Linked DNA regions of Schizosaccharomyces pombe. Each later gene encodes a partner of the first gene's protein in a complex. Each region holds a gene or a part of one and is shown in the gene's direction. Other genes may lie near its edges.

Evidence for each region.
Region 2: shf1 (region 1) and brl2 share a complex: the UniProt entries of both Schizosaccharomyces pombe proteins name them as parts of the histone H2B ubiquitin ligase complex.
Region 3: shf1 (region 1) and brl1 share a complex: the UniProt entries of both Schizosaccharomyces pombe proteins name them as parts of the histone H2B ubiquitin ligase complex.

The regions. Positions count from the first base shown.
Region 1 is NC_003424.3:4,807,481-4,813,496, reverse strand, and holds shf1 (histone H2B-K119 ubiquitin ligase complex (HULC) subunit Shf1), read left to right. Parts: upstream 1-2,088; 5' UTR 2,089-2,229; coding exon 2,230-2,727; 3' UTR 2,728-3,011; downstream 3,012-6,016. Other genes in the region: formin Fus1, read left to right, coding at 1-272; CCR4-Not complex subunit Caf16, read right to left, coding at 432-1,030, 1,076-1,195, 1,275-1,398; phosphoinositide phospholipase C Plc1, read right to left, coding at 3,012-5,711. UniProt on the Schizosaccharomyces pombe protein: Component of the histone H2B ubiquitin ligase complex (HULC) which plays a role in transcription regulation by catalyzing the monoubiquitination of histone H2B to form H2BK123ub1.
Region 2 is NC_003421.2:487,540-493,667, forward strand, and holds brl2 (histone H2B-K119 ubiquitin ligase complex (HULC) subunit, ubiquitin-protein ligase E3 Brl2), read left to right. Parts: upstream 1-2,241; 5' UTR 2,242-2,528; coding exon 2,529-2,618; exon of another isoform or gene 2,619-2,682; coding exon 2,683-4,635; 3' UTR 4,636-4,830; coding exon of another isoform or gene 4,831-5,245; 3' UTR 5,246-5,292; coding exon of another isoform or gene 5,293-5,523; 3' UTR 5,524-5,568; downstream 5,569-6,128. Other genes in the region: wtf antidote-like meiotic drive suppressor Wtf9, read left to right, coding at 1-179, 229-507, 553-744, 785-847, 898-980; sec8 (exocyst complex subunit Exo4), read right to left, coding at 4,831-5,245, 5,293-5,523, 5,569-6,010, 6,061-6,128. UniProt on the Schizosaccharomyces pombe protein: E3 ubiquitin-protein ligase which belongs to the histone H2B ubiquitin ligase complex (HULC) which mediates monoubiquitination of histone H2B to form H2BK123ub1.
Region 3 is NC_003421.2:2,237,903-2,242,654, forward strand, and holds brl1 (histone H2B-K119 ubiquitin ligase complex (HULC) subunit, ubiquitin-protein ligase E3 Brl1), read left to right. Parts: upstream 1-1,944; 5' UTR 1,945-2,072; coding exon 2,073-4,151; 3' UTR 4,152-4,252; downstream 4,253-4,752. Other genes in the region: transcription factor TFIIIB complex subunit Bdp1, read right to left, coding at 1-78, 117-766, 817-1,308, 1,354-1,384; pep3 (ubiquitin-protein ligase E3), read left to right, coding at 4,603-4,752. UniProt on the Schizosaccharomyces pombe protein: E3 ubiquitin-protein ligase which belongs to the histone H2B ubiquitin ligase complex (HULC) which mediates monoubiquitination of histone H2B to form H2BK123ub1.

The DNA.
Region 1 (6,016 bases):
ATAATGCAGAAAATAGTGGTTCTTCAAAGAATGAGGAAGTTTCAGCAACAATGGAAAATTTAATATCTCAGCTACAGAAAGGTTTGTGTGATGATTCTTTAAGCAACAAAACCGATTGCACTGAATCATCGAAACAAACAATCGAAACTCTAATGAATTATGAAAATGATAAACAAACTCTAGAAGGCTCAAATAAAAAGAGACAAACAGTCGTCCTTAAAGCTGAATGCATGCTTAAGCAGCTGGAGAATAACAATGAACTTAAGAGATAATGATGTTTGAAATGTTAATGACTTTTAATGACAATTAAATGACTTAAACAAATTATAATGAAATTATAATTAATAAAAGGTATAATTATTAATTCTAGTAAGACTGTAATGCTTGTTAAAGATAGAATTAAGCATCTAAAGGATAACTTTTCTAGTAATCTATTTTGCTCGGGAAATCTTAAAGTAATCAGTAAATACATCAGTTCCAACTTTTAATGATTCTTGAACGTCGTCCCAGGTACTACGCTTTTCCTCTTCTCGAGTTCCCCTATTTTTTTTGTCTTCTTTGAGCCATTCCAAACATGTCTCTAGAAGGGCGCTATTTCCCGTAGAGGACCTTGTCATCAGAGCACCAAACTTGGATATTGGTCCATAATCCACGATACGCCCAAGACTGAGATGGACCAAGTGAGTTGGCCACTCAGCTAAACCATCAAATATATGTGTTGCATAAACAATAGTAGCATTCCTTACTTCCGTTTCCTCTTGCAAAAAATTTAACAAATCTGCCCGGGCAAGAACATCCAAATCTACAGTTACTTCATCAAGTAAAAGTACTTCAAATGGACGCAGAAGTCCCATACATAGTTGAACACGTCGTCTTTCACCATCGGACACTGCATGCATTCGCCAACGAAGATCTATATCAAGAATTGAAATCAAGAAATCCCTACGTTCGGCAAATTTATCTCCTCCAACAGAAGCAATTAATCGTGCAACACTCATATCCCTATGTATAACAGGGTTGTTAACCCATTCTACAAACGCACACATCAGTAAAATTTGATGTTAAAAGAACTTACCAGTTCCTAAATAAACAAATGCAGAACTAGACTCACGAAAAGGATCTTTACCACCCACCGATATATGTCCTGCTTTCGCAAGCGATTTTCCAGATAAAAGTTTAAGTAAAGTTGATTTTCCTGTTTAACAAAATTCCAAGAGGACATCAGTTAGCATTTAAATATTCTTCATCAATTTCCATAACACCGCGAAACTTACCAGCTCCATTGGCTCCAACAAGTAAAGTCCTTGATCCTTTAGGAAGATCTAAAGTTACGTGATCAAGACTTAAAGGCTGCTTTGGAGAAAACGTGTAAGAGAGGTTTGAAACAGTTACTTCCATTTTGAAATAGAATGTTTTAACAGTAGTAAAATATAATTATCTAAGAACTTAGTTTTACAATATATAAAGGATCCAAAAAAAGGCGCAAATTAAATAACACTCAAACTTTGTGGGTTAGCTGGATTGTGTTTAGTACATCTGTGTATCAAGTAAAGTGTGGAGGGAATGCAGTAAAGTTGTTATAAGCAAGACCTCGTACTAATAAATTAGCTTTCCAAGTCTTTGTAAAGAACCTTTTTTAACTATTAAGTAATGCTGCCCATATTTGGAGATGCTATTAAGACCTTGAACACACATCCTGCGGAGTCTTGGAAAGAAAAATGATTAACATCGATGGAACAATTGGCAAACAATATATATAGGAGATAGAAGCAGATAACATTTGTAATCAACTACAATTTATGCTACATATTATTTGGCTTAAAACTAAGTAATAATACTTTCCTAAGGTCACCCCATTTCGTTTAAGACAACAGACAAACCTAACATTCGCATGGAATTTTTTAACAGCAGGCGGACATTTCTCAAATAAAAAAATATAAATATAATATTATTTCATTCCTGCTAAACGATTTTAGCTTTTCAACGTAGTATTGCCCATATCATTAGACTTAATATATTAAACAACAAACAAACATCGATATGGGCGAAGGGCTTTATATAACGCGGTACGTAAAATAGTCTTACCTCAAACCGTTTTCTCACACCGTGATTTTAATTGAATTAAGTATTACTATTTTTCGGTTCTTTAACCAATTGTTTTAATTAGATAGTGTACATTTTTCGTGAAAAAAAAGAACCATTAATATCAGCACTTAATTATTCACTTTAATGAGCAGCAGAAGAAATGACTACCACTATGATGGAAACGACCACCAGTATCGTAGTCCTTTGAAATCAAACGTTGATCAAAACAGTTTTTATGAATCTAGTTATAGGAGCCGACAATCCTACCATCAAAGAACAAAAACACCCAGATCTAGTTATGATTCACCCTCTTCATCTACAAATTCCAAGGAACACAATTCTCCCTATCATTATAGAGTCCCTAGCAATAATTCAACAAGAGCGTCTTTTGGGGCAGCTTCTACGGATACGAATGTAGAATTGCCGAAGATTAATCTTCCAGACTCGAGTTTGTCAAGTAAACTTCAAAGCTGCAAGTCTGCGTGCGAGAATTCATCCCAGAGTTTATTGAATGTCGAACAACAATACGCTCAACAAGTACATTTTTGGGAAAAAATTAGAACGGATATATACCGAGAAGGTCTACGTAGTGATGCAGCTGTAAAAAGCTTAAACGATTTTGTAAATAATGTCAGCTTCTAAATAAATTATTGCAATCATCGTCTGCGTACAAATCATTGAGCTTCCGCTTTGTGGATATTATTATGACTTTTTATTGAAAGTTTTATCCCAAACCCATATTTATAAACATGAATGTTTTTGTATAGCGTTTTTTTTTTTAAAAAAAAAAAATAAAAATAAAAAAACGCTTCATACACTCTAAACATTCTCAGACTACTTCGGTTCTCTCCCTTTTAACGTATAATATGCATTTTAGATTTTCTGAAGTTTCATTACGGTGAAAGTGCTGTAATGGACACAGCGTTCTAAATGTCTTCTTTTTTAATTTTCAAAAACAAACTCGAAAATAACAAATTTTCGCCTTGCATATCCAATAAACGAATATGTCTATAGCCTTGTTGCAGTCTGTCAATCGGACAAGTAAAATTAGCAAATATAGAGTCATTTCCATTACTTCCTCGATGATGGACGAGAAATCGGATCATGGAATAAAAGTCATCACTAATTATACTCTCATAAACCATGGTTTCTCCCCAAAAAGGTCGAAATCCATTTTCGTGCACAACTTTGGAACACCAACGAAAAGGAGATTCTTCCATTGAATGAACTTGGATCTCAACATAAGGGCTGAGAGTTTCAGAATTAGAAAGTTCTCTAGCTCTTCTAAGTTGTTGCCCAGATATGACATCTATTGTTAATTTTATTTTACGAGGAAGTCCTTCTTCGCCAACTGTTGTACCAATTATTCGTTGACAAGGTGGCTTTAACAAGTACCCAGTCGGAGGATCAGCTATAAACAAAGCATCATTTATTTGAAGACCTGTATCATAAGTTTGCCAGTTTAGAGCAACCATTTGCACACCCAGGCGCCAATACACCTGAGGATTAAAATTTGTACTTCCTACTCTCAATGGGCCAGGGTATACACGACACAAATAGCGTAAATTATGTTTGCTAAGTCTTGGAACCATAGCTTTTCCATGCTTTTTTATAGTCCTTTCCGAAAATGAGAATATGTGGCTATACGTTTTTGATTCCGGTAAAGAAAAATTTCGAAATTTCAATGATCGGGCATAAGGTGCAAGCTGTTGCAATTCCTGCACAATGATATTTTTCATCCGTCTTTTACCTTTCCTTAACCCTGTTAATTCTGAATTTTCTAGCTCCGATGATTCGGTAGTATCAGTCGAAGAATCAGTTATCCCAACCTTCAGTATGTCTGTCGAAAATTGGTGCAATGGTGTTGCTGAACATTTGACTTTCAGCAAAATTTTGTTCAGTAAATCTTCGGGTGAAGGAAGAACTGATTCGTTAGCGGTAACGGGTTTCATCACCAAAGTATCCCCAAATGCTTGTTTCATGTAACTAACCATTTGACGTTGTTGGTCAGGGCAGCAATGAATTTCCAAAGAAATGAATAATGGATAAGGTGAAACGACGAAAGCATATTTTCGTATAGCATCAATAACATCATTAAATTTTATCATAGAAGTAAATGTATGTCCATGACAAACTACAGGACCATTCGGTCCATCCCAGCAATCGATTTCAATACACTTGCAGCCACGCTGTAGCGAACGGATATAACCTTCAATTGAACTTTCTCCACCAAACTGCTTACCTAGTAAATAAGTGTTATGCGACGAAGAAATTAAGTATTCATTCAGTGGTCGCGACATATCTTGTATCACAGGAACTACTGGAGAATTATGAGGAGAAAGTAGAAAGGAAGTAAATTCTATCAAACCCATTTTTGAATCATCATTTGAGCAAAAAGAGACATACAAAGTCCTAATTGAGTCACTATCCAAACGAGCCTTTTGAGAAGTTGATAGAAAGTGACGAAACTGTTCCAAAGACATCTTGTCAGAGCCAGATGTATATTCTTTAAAAATATCTACAATCTCGGATCTTGTTTTTAAAAGGCTTACAAAATGCTGAAATTCTTCAAAACTTAGCTTTCCAGAATGATCAGCATCTGCCTTTTGAAATGTTTCTTCTAAAAACTCCATTGATGCATTCAAATGTAGCATTTGGCACATGCGATGCACGTCTCCTAGATCCAACTGTGCACTTTGCTCCTTTTCTAACTTTTCCCAGGGATTTAAATTCTCTGAATAATCTATCATTTTTTCACCTTGATGGCAAACGAGATTAAGTCCAATAATAAATTCATTCAATCGATAAGTTTTTAGACCTTCTAAAGCCATAATCCATTGATTATGCGCATCTAAAGTTGGAGATATCATATGCATAGCCTTTAATTTATTATCAGCACAATATATAATTGTGAACCAGCGTTTCTCGTTCTCAGAAGAAATTTTGTACTGTTCTCTATAATTACGAGCATCGCGGCCCTGTCGAATTTCTTTAATGTCATCAACACAAAGCTTCTTATAAGCTTTACCAGTATTCTTGTCCAGCATAAGATATCCAGATATAGGGTCTAAAGAGACTTTACGTTGGCGCACCTTTTTCTTGGTTATACGAAGTAAAGAGCATCCGTTTTGAATAGATTCAGGGACTATAGTAGCTAATAGCTGTCGAGAATTAAAGTTTTGATTCACCGAGCTCAGAGTAGATAAGTTTTCGTTACTATCGCATGAGTAAGGGTTCATTGAAGTATTTGTTCTCGCAGAATTCATTCGACCTTGCAAGCGTAGCAAAAGATTTAACTTCAGAGAAAGCCAATTCAATCCTCCATGGAATTTATTTTCTGAAGCTGATGTCGATTTCGTACTCAGAAAAGAAGATAAAGAATTTGATCGTTTACGTAGAGTACTATGAGCATCGCGATCCCTTGATGATAGCATCTTAAAGAAATCCTGCTCCGATTTCTTCCTATTGCCAACATATGGGAGATCCAAAGCAGCATTATCTAAGGTTTTACTCCTCGTCTGAGCAACTGCGTTTTCTGAGCAATCGGGCAGGCAAAATGGACTTACTGCTCTGTTGGAGTCTCCTAAGTTGACCGATTCAGGCGACGTTACCATTTCACAATTCATTATGATATCTATTTAAGGATTTACACCGCCATTGGCTTTTTGATCATTATGTTGATATTTAAAAGTTCTTCGGTTTTTCGGTTTTCATTCAGCAACAATACGCCGTGTATGTGTCAATAAAGATAAGTGGATAGCACTCAAAATTGCATATGAGCATAGATTCAATCCACCACTTTAAATCAAGTAAGCCTGATATTATTATAGGGACAAAAATTAGTTGTTTTCGGAACTTTTACCTCTTATATCGTAGGAGCTTACATCCGAGACTTTTGTTAACGTTAGTGGCAAGCGCGCTTTGGTTTAAT
Region 2 (6,128 bases), on another chromosome or scaffold:
TTCTTCCCCTTTGTTGATAAAACTGCTAATATCATTCACTTCAATCATTCTATTCAATGCTCCAGCAGTTTGTTATCTAAAGTATAAGGACGCTTTTTTTAAAAATTATGGTGCAGTGGAATGGACATTATTTGGATTTTGGTGTTTTGTTTGCACTTTGGCTTTAATATTCTTGACTTGTAAGTGAGACAATGGGGTTATTCTTACCTTCAGTCACTAACTCATCAGACTTCTATGAAACTTGGACCAAGGCAGTTAAAGTAACTGTAATTTCCTTGGCACAATGTGTAAAAGTGACTGCAGTTTTCTTGGCAAAATGTGTAAAGGTAACTGCGGTCGGCTTGTACAACTCAAGGGAAAAATGGGTAGTAATAATTTGGCTATTATGGGTAGTCATTTGCTATACACTTTTTCTTCGCGCCAAATTCGGTAATTTGAACTTAGACAAGGCTCTCATCTGTTCTACATGCAGTATTTCAGCTGCTTTACTTTTATTTTTACTATATGGTATGTGAAGTTATGGAGTTACCATTACTGACCGCTAACACGCAGTTCGTCTTCCATTTTGGACACTCAAGCATATGTTTTCTGGTTTGTTTCAAGTACTGGGTGTACAAAGTTGTGTCGTTATTGTACAGAAAGGTTTGATGCATTTATTTGATAAACATATCGACGGGACAGGCTACGAAATTGAAGCCTCTTCACTCTTTGTTATAGGAAATTTTCTTTTCTTTTACGAAATGGGTTTGTTTAATATTCCTGTAATTTACTCTAACCGTATCAGAATGTCCAGGTGCTCTCAAAAGGATGCCCAAATTTATCAGGAATGGTATAGCTTCTTTCCTAGGTATGTGTATTCAACCAACTGTATGAATGATTTTTTACTTACCCGACTAGGAGGTATAGCAAATGCGATTGGAGGTGCCAACGATAATAATGACATTCCCTTGGAAGAAACGGAGGCCGAAAGCGAAGTCTAATTGCTTTATTAATGTAGTTGTCGCTACAGTTGGAAAACCTCTTTACCAAAATCACCAATGCAGAGAAGCTGCGGCGTTTTTTAAAAAATTAGCACCAACTTTCTTTAATCATCCTCTTTCACTATAAGTTTATGGAATATATGCTTAACTTATTCTTTCAATTACCAAAGATTTTCAACCAATGCATTCTACGATGTTGGATAATGTGCATTGAGGACCGAAGTCTTTATTTATAATGTATGCGAGTCTAATTATTTGTCTTTTTTAATGGTACTCTACGCTACAAACAATAATGGTTTAACTTGTTTACGACAACTTTAAATCAACTAATGAAATCGGAAAACTCGTTGTTCCACCTTGTTAAATTCACAATTTCATTGTCGTTGTTACATTCATTTCTCCTTCATCTTGATTCTTAATTTAATCAAGCTTAATAATCATTTTTCCCTTCTGTTTAATGGTTCAATTCAAACAAAATTTAATGTTTACAAAATAATGAGCAGCATAATAGAATATTGTGGTTTAGAACGATGGTTTGTTATCGTAATTACGTGTAAGCTACGCAGTTTGGTATCTGATTTAAGGATACGTAGAACTGCGGTGAGTTTTCCTTGTGATCTATTATATTACAATACACAGGTTGTATAAGTAGCAACTGAGTATAGGTATTGTATTAACTGGGTTATAATGTTACCTATCACTAGTATAGCTCATAACTGAACCTCGTTCCTCAGTTCAGTGGTAGCTCTATTTATAGTATTCAGATAATATAGATCTGAATAGATTATCATTAAGATTAATCTCCATATCGTATCATACATGGTACGATATATAATTAGAACATGTGACATATAGTGATACGCAACGTAGTGTATCACTATATGTCATATGTTGAAATACTAGTTAAGATCCGCTTGTTGATAATCACAGGTAACTATTCGTCTATGTACATAAATACCCGTTGATAACAGCCATTTATAAATAGCGTTACAACTGAACCTCGTTCCTCAGTTCAGTTATGAGCTATACTAGTGATAGGTAACATTATAACCCAGTTAATACAATACCTATACTCAGTTGCTACTTATACAACCTGTGTGTTGCAATATAATAGATCACAAGGAAAACTCACCGCAATTTTACATTTCGTTAAAGTGGATACCAGATGGATAGTTAACTCGAATTTCTTCAAATACGACAATTTTTCACTAAAGTAGTTTAGTGACTGAGTAAATAGATCGTAAACTCGTGTCTGCCCTCTACCACTTCACTTTTACCCATTTTATTGTATTGAATGGCAATTAACTTAATTCGCTTCGAATTGCATATTTTCAATACGGCAAGTTTCAACTAAGAAGGAGAATTTGAAATAGATCTGTAAAGACGCGTATCTATAACTTGCTTATTCATTACGCGTTATTACGTTTAGTATAAGAAAAATACAGTCTGTCTTTTAGGTTTTGGCTGTTTTCTTTTTTCGTTAAAAAACAAATTGTTCTGAAAAAAAGGAAATTTATATTGATAGGTTGATGTATACGACTTTCGAGAATGTATCAGAATGGTAAACCAGATGCCCCCACAATCTTAGGCCAGAAAAGAGAACTTGAAGATGTAGAAATACAAGATGATGATATTCAGGTATGTTAACGTGTTGAGCCTTTAGGCATTCGAATGTTAAGACATGTCGCTAACTCTGTTAAAGGAAGTCTCTAAAGAAGACTTATTAAAGGATGTAAGAGTGAGGAGCATTCAATTTGATGAGTTAGAAAGTAAAATAGAGGGACTTCAAAATTTAGCAGAAGAGAAATTAAAAGTTTTAGCTACTTTGGTCTCTTGGTGGCCTGAAATACTTCAGCAGTTTAGCGTTGTGTTTCAAGGCAATGAGCTGAAGGACTTCGAGAGTGAAGGTGTTTTTTCGATTTTGGAGAAATTCCCGGAGCTTTCATACTTCAATGACGCTGTGAAAAATAATAAAACTAAAGCCTTGAGCATCATTCAAAAACTCTTGTCTACTGTTGACTCAAGCACAAATTCGGTCTCCAGAGATCCTTTTTCAGTTTTATCAATTGATGACTCTGCCCTTACTGAGAAATTAAACACCATTAATTTGGATATTGACAAGATTTTAGATGAATTGGATACCACTCGGTCTCAGCTTCATTCAATTATAAAACTACCAGATCGCTCGTCTAGTTTTACTTTGCAATGCATTAATGAATCAGTGAGACCCCAGTCTACTAAAGTGAAAGAGGAAGCAACCACCTCCTCTAAGGGGAAAGATGAAGAAAAGAAAGTTAGCACGGTTGAACAACGTACTCAACTGCAACAATTATCCAGGCTTCAAGACCAACAAAATGGTTTAATGGAGTCTCGCTCACAAAGCCTTAAAATTTTGGATTCGAACGTTAATGAAATGGATAAATTAATTATGGAACGAGAAAACGCATTAAACAACGTCGAAACTACAAACTTGAAAAAATACTCTTCCTTTTTAGCACTTAAAGAAGCTGTTTCTATGACATCTGAGCAGTTACGCGTATTAGAGCACTTATTGTCCGAATGTTCTCACGAAATAAATGTATTGTCGCAACAGTCAAAGAATTTTAACGGTGTTTTTGAATCTTCCTATCAGCCGTTAATAAACGATCTTGATCATCAAATATCTGTTATGCAAAACGATGAAAAAAGAATTAATAACGCAAAGACTGAATTAAGCTTATCCCTTGAAAAGAAGTTGGAAGCTAAAAAGCAAAAAGAGAAGGTCTACAAAGACAAGTTAGATGAACTTGCGAATTTAGAGACAATGGTATTGGAAAAGAAAAAAGCGGTGGCTACCCGTGAAGCTGCAAACAAAATCCGGCTCGTAGACCTTAACGATTTGGAGTTACAAAAAGATCTGTCAACTTACCTTTCTAAAGAGTTGGCTTCTACTGAAAAAGCATTTAGGTTGGTAAAACAGCAAACTGTGAAAAGTAGCCACTCCCATTATCAAGAATTGATAACCAAATTTAGTGTCGAAAAGGAAAAGGCGGAGCAAAAATATTTTCTGACCATGAAGTCTACAGATAGTCTTCATGCTGAAGTAAAGTTACTGCGCCAGAAGTACCAGAAGACCAACGAAATTATCTCAAAAATGTTAAATAGCCAAGACACTGCTGTCCATAGAATAATAGAGTTTGAAGATCAGCTAGCCCGTCTATCATCGGTTCGAAATAACTCTATAAAACAATCAACAACGTTTCAAGTCAAAAAGTCATCTCAAAAATCAACTATTCAAAACCTGGAAGAAAAGGTGTCTTATTTACAGCAATTTATGGATAAAAATAATGCTACATTAACAGACCTTGAATTTCAATGCTCAGATTTATCATCTTCTATAGATATACTTTCCAAGCAAGATGAAGAGCATGAAAAAGAGAAGCGAAAGTTAAAGGATACTGGGGTATCAACGTCAGCTGAAGAGTTAAAAACTTTTAGGGCCATGTGTAAGTGTTCAGTTTGTAACTTCGAGCGCTGGAAAGATCGAATTATTTCTCTCTGTGGTCATGGCTTTTGTTACCAATGCATACAAAAACGGATTGAAACACGGCAACGCAGATGCCCGATTTGCGGTCGTGGATTTGGTGCTTCTGATGTTATTCCGATACATCTTTGAAGAATATGTTTTATTTGTGTAAATTATGTCTTTCAGGAAAACGCTGTATATATAACAAATCATTTTCCTTAATATAATCTTTGAAACTAGGTCACGTAGTTTTTAAACTATCCAATGCATCTATGTTTTTAGTTAATAAATTTATTATTATAAAATCATTACTCGTCATTATAATTAAAATTCTATATTATACGGTTAAGGATTTTTTCTCGCACCACCCACAGTGTTGTCGAACTGAGTTAAAACCGAGCCAATCTTTTTCTGATACTGCCGATAAAGATCGTCCCTTCCGTTTCTTTTTGCATCTTTCATTAATCGCTGGTAATAAATTCGGACCATCTGTTTAACGTCAGGCAAAAGTTCCTTTTTGGGGGCAGCAATGAAGTGCTCGATAATTTTCTTGGCACCATTTTGGTATATTCCAAAGACTCTAGAAGATTTAGGAAATTCAACGTCGCCATGAATTTCCTTAACCGTCTTAAGAATCTGAATCATTGCTGACATATTTTTCAGCATCTGAAGACAGCTGCCTCTATTCATTGATTCTATTTTGTAAAAGATAGAGTATAGCGATGAATCAACCAGTTCACTCAGACCTTGGAATACAAACCTATAAAAAGTTAGCAAATCAATATAAGGAATTCATTTGTTATTTACCTTCGTTCCCATTCATTCAAACAGGTTTCGAGTTTCAAATTCGTCGTCACAATAGTAGAGTTGAGAGCCATTATCGAAGCATCTGGTCTTCCGCGGTACTCGACAACATAGTCAGGAAGGTTTACACTTTGATTAATACTATGAATGTACTGTAACCGAACTTCCATTCGGATTAGCAGTAAAGCATCGAATTGGAGCCTCTGTAAAGAATCAAAGACTTCTTTATATGCACTTTTATAAAAATCAGTATAAAGTTCAATACATACAGTAACATACCCCTTCATTAAATCCGAATTATTACCCAACAAATTATCAATTGGTAAAAAGTCACCACCGAAATTAGCTTGGTTTTGTTGCAAAACGTTCATTCTTCGCGAACCGTTCATAAATCTTGAAAAACAGCGCTGAAGAAACCATTCCATGGAGTTATGAAGATAAGAAACCGAGTTCACTAGGTCGGAATCTTTGGATAAAACCGATACCGGAAGTTTAACTTCGGACGTAATCGCACGATCTTCATATTGTAATAAACGCTTATTCTCCATTCGACAAAGCTCATTTAACCCTTCAAGTGATGGATTTTTTTGCTTGAGGAATTTAATAAATTGAGGGTACGTTACATCGTCGTGAAGTAGCTTTACTCGAACAGTATCATCGACATCTTCAGTATCCTCGTTGACATGTTTGTATTCTTTGAGAACAGCCGTTCTGCACAAATCTATAAAGGGTAAGCTGGGGAAACAGTGAAAAAATGGAAATGAAACATACCAGAGAGATAATCAGAACAATGGTTGCGAAAACGAACAAGCAAAGTATGTAATAATTCATAAAATTCT
Region 3 (4,752 bases), on another chromosome or scaffold:
TAGTTTTATCTGTCGACGATTACGAGTTGGAAACATATTAGCAATTAAAGCAAAATCAGTTCCCCACTGTGATAGAGCCTGCCATGTCAGTAAATACGAGCGCAATTCCTCCATACCTTATAAAATTTTTCAGTATCCATAGCGTTCCATTTCTCAGGTTTCTGCCTATTTCCCCAAGTAGCACTTGTAACCCGACGACTTAAAGAATTTTCTTCAACGTATTCGCGTTCCTCTGCTGGTACAAAATCACGTTCATGACGGTCGACTTCTAGTGAGGTTTCATCCAGAACAATTTGGCCATTAACAACTCGCGTACGAGGAGTTGCAGAGTAATTGGAGTTGTTATTCAAACCATCAACTTCCATTTTATCTGCTAACTGATCAAGAATAGACTTTGTTGGGTGAGAGAGACTATCTTCGAGAGAAGCAGACTCATCCGTACCCTCTTCTTCCAAACTTCCTACTATTTCTTCTTTCTCTTTCGGTTCGCTTGATTCTAGAAGACTGGCACTCAAAGGCTGTTTGATGGTAGAATCTAAAGACGCTTCTCGACTAGAGCTTGCAGTACTTGCTCCTTGTTTTTTAATCCTCTTTGCTCGTTTTTCCTCAAAAAGCATTTTTTCTAATTCGATAAATCGTTGACTTTTGCGGCCAATTCCAGGATCATCACATAAAGCAGACATTTTGGTTTCACTTATGTTAATGATTTTCTCGTCGGTACCCACGTTTTCCAATATCAATTGACTTTTTCTTTTCAAAGAAGATTCTATGATGTTATTAAATAATGCATTTTAGATTAACCCTTTATTTACGTACCTCTATATGAACGGCGAGACTTTTTTGTAGCCGGAGAATCCGCCTTTCCGTCACTAACAGCACTGAGCTGAGAAAGGGGAATGTTCTCATCAAAAAACAAATCTAATTCCTTCATAAATTGCTGTTCGGCTGAAGAGGATAAATCGGTTTCAGGCGACAAATGCTCAATAGCATTTAACGGCTGCTCAAGAACCGTTGGCTTAGAAATTTTAAAAGTAGGATTTGAATGCAAAAGTTTTTCATTTTGTTTCACTGAATCATCTTTTCTATAGGATGAAGCTGTGGGATTTTCAGTTGCCTCTTTGTGAACTACTGTTTGCACAACCGGACTAGAAATATCAGCATTGGCAGTATCACGAGACAGCTGAGCGGATGTTTCTACTTCGTTTCCTGTGAGGGGTTGATTTTTTTCTTCATGAACAACCTCTTTTTGGTCCGATACTTTCTCTCTACGGGCTGTAAATTTAGGGGCAAACCTTGACATTGATTTTTCTGGTAAAACATTAGTGGAAAGCCCTACTACTTAAAAAAACGTACTTGTAGGTGAGGTTAATATTTGCGAGCTCATTGAGTCTGTTTAGACTGTAACTTCGACTCAATTGCATGAATTTCAAAAATTATGTGGCAGTGCGCATATGTTTGTACAAACATTTGCCTGTTGTCCATGAACCAGTAATATTTTAATAAAGAGGTTATATCCTGGGTATAACTGTACAACGAAACCAAGCAAGCCCGTCTGAATAGATTAATATATATGTGTAAAAAGTTTTATAGTCGCAATGATTGAGTAAGATATAAAATTAACTAAAGGTAGAAATAATCAGGGTCAGCCTCGAACAAACTTAGTTATTATAAAACGCTGGAAATGTAAGCTATAGTTTACAGATAAAGCAAGAAAATACTTTACACTAATATGAATAGTAGAATAAATTCAGCAATTTAGATAACCACCGAAGGAATTGAAGAAGCCATTGTCGTTAGCTAATGTTTATTTTGTCATTGCCAATATTAATTATATTATACAAATTACTACTTCGTAGGCGACTTTAAAGACAGGCATAACTAAGGTAAAGAAACATATTATTATAGCGAGGAATCTATTTGACTCACTAACGAGACATGACTACCATGTACAGATAACCTGAAAAAACTCATTAACCGTAGGAATTGGCTTAGTGAATGTTAATGAGCACATATTTTGATCCTAAGTACTTTATTTTAATTATAAAATAGAAAAGGAATTTTTTTGAAGTGGAATGAGCGTTGTGAATGAATCGAGGAAAAGAAGACGTCTTATTCACAGCGAAAAAGAAACGCGTCGTTTAGACCTCGGAGAAGAAGATGACTTAGAGTTATTTCAAAAGGAAGCAGCTTGGCGAAGATCTAGAGAGTATGAGCATCTCACTGTTTTGGAAAAGAAATTATACGAGTATTGGGAATCTCTAGTTTTGAAACTTGATCATTACGTTGCTGCTGCTCTGGAAAATCATGAACAATCATTTGAAGAACTAGAGAAAATCACTGCTTCTTTATATCAACCTGATGATAATTTACAGACACTAGATTTGTCACTTGCTGAGTTCAGTTTAATCAAAGATGCGCAAAACTATTTGAATAAGTATGCTTCCTATTTTCAAGCCCATGAACCTACTCTACAAAAGTTAGCTAAATTTGGTTCTTTTAAATTAAAAGAAACTCCAAACGTCCATGAATGGATAGACCAACGCCAGGTTCATTTTACAAGTATGATTAATTACCGTACTAGCCAACTTAAGTTGGCACTCCTAAAAAGGAAACTTTCCTTCTTTCGTGAAGCTTTGAATTCAGCTGAATTAGAATGGAAACGGGTGCAGCAAGATCAGCTTACTAGTGCTTCCGAAAGAAGTATTGAAAATATCGCTGATGATATCCCTGCTTCGGAACCAAAAGCAATTCTCGAAAATGGGGAAGGATGTTTAAATGATAATGATAATATTTCAAAACTAAAAAACAATTTTCAATCTCAAGCTGATTTGATGCAAGCAAATATAAATTCCAAATTGGATGAACTTTCTCAAAAATCAACTCGTGCAGCACAATTGTACGTCGACATTATGGGTATAACGGATGAAAGAGTGAGTAGAGAGCCCCATTATTTAGAGCTGAAGGGGGTTCTTTCTTCAAATGAAGAGAAAATCGAATCCATTAATCGGGACCTCTCTTCATTGTTTGAGGACATTCAGTTTTTTATTTCTCAACGGACGAAACGACAGAAGGATATTATTGATTTAAAATTGGCATGTGTAAAAGAGAAACAACAACTTATTAAAACCCTTGAATCATCTTTAACCCAAATTCGTAACGAACGAGACTCTCTAGTGGCGAAACAACAAATGCAATATACTAACAATCTATTTTTTGACGATATGATGCTTTTATTAAGCAACTTGTCAAACGCTCGGGTTGCAATTCTAGAAGGTTATTCAAATCGATTGTGCATATGGGATCGTATTGAAAGGTCTAAGACTGGTGAGATGAATAATGTCCTAGATGAAAAAGAAGAAATTTCTGCGTCTTCAGCTTTGGAAAAACTAATAAAAAATAATAGTTGTTTGGAGGCTGAACTCCCAAGTATGTATGCAGCATTTGATCAATCACAATCTCGTTTGTTGAAGAAATATGAAGAACTTGAAACGAAGGAGAAAAAAGCTTTGGAAATGCATTATGAAAAGGCTCGTGCCACCCAAAAATATTTTGCTGCCATGAAAGCTCGGGACATTCTTATGACAGAGAAGAAAACTCTTAAACTGGCCGAAAATAAAGAACATGATTATATAGGGAAGTTGCAAGAGCGAGAACATGCGCTAACAAAATATGAATCCTCTTTAAAAGCTGAATTGGAAGTTTATAAACAAATAAAGGAAATCTACGGGAAACACTCGGTCGAAGTTTTAACAGAAGATAAGCACTTACAAGTTAAGCAAACAAAACTTACTCAAAAACTTGAAGATCTTATAGAGTCTGTTCAAAAATCTGGGGAAAAGCTTATGATCATGCATCAGAAGTTGTTTCATTTGCAAGAAGAGCATACTATTTTATCCATAAAAGCTTCGTATAATAAGAAAGAGTCTCATCTTATAAACCAGGCATATGAAACACAAGAGGCTCAAGTATACAAAGGAATGTTAAAATGCTCCGTGTGCAACTTTTCTAATTGGAAATCTAAACTCATTCCAAACTGTGGTCATGCCTTTTGTTCTAATTGTATGGAACCTTTTTATGAGCATAAAACAAGTACATGTCCGCAGTGTGAAACACCTTTTTCGGTTTCCGACATTTTGACCATTCATCTTTAATTCTAGATCATCTTTTATATGATTAACGTAATGTTTTTGTTATTTTGGTACATAATATATTTTTTGGCATCAATAGTTATTGAAAGAATAGTCAATCCTATATACATATATATATATATATATATATATTTATTTATTTATTTACATATAAATATGTATGCTTTTTTTAATAAAAAACTAGTAATATCTATCAATTTGATTAACTTATTCCATTAAGCAACTTCGTTCATTCATATGCTAGTTTCGCAAGTCTAGCATCATGACTCACTCTCCATTATCCATGTGCCAAAAATAGAGGGTGTGTATCTGTAGCGACTGTAACTAGCGAAATAGGAAACAATTAATTACTATTAATTATTTTTTTAAATATTGGTAAATTAATTTATATTGGCAGCGGAATTATAATAATTCATCTCATTTTCTATTGATACGCGTGCAATCCCATTGAACAATGAGTCTGGCCGAGGATTGGATTGATCCTAATTCTTCTGAAGATTCAGATATTCAAGAAGATGCGGAATTGGAATACACAGCTGATAATCCCGAAAAGGAGCAAAGAGGTGTATTTTCCTTAGAGAAGGTGCAACTGCAGTTCCCTGTT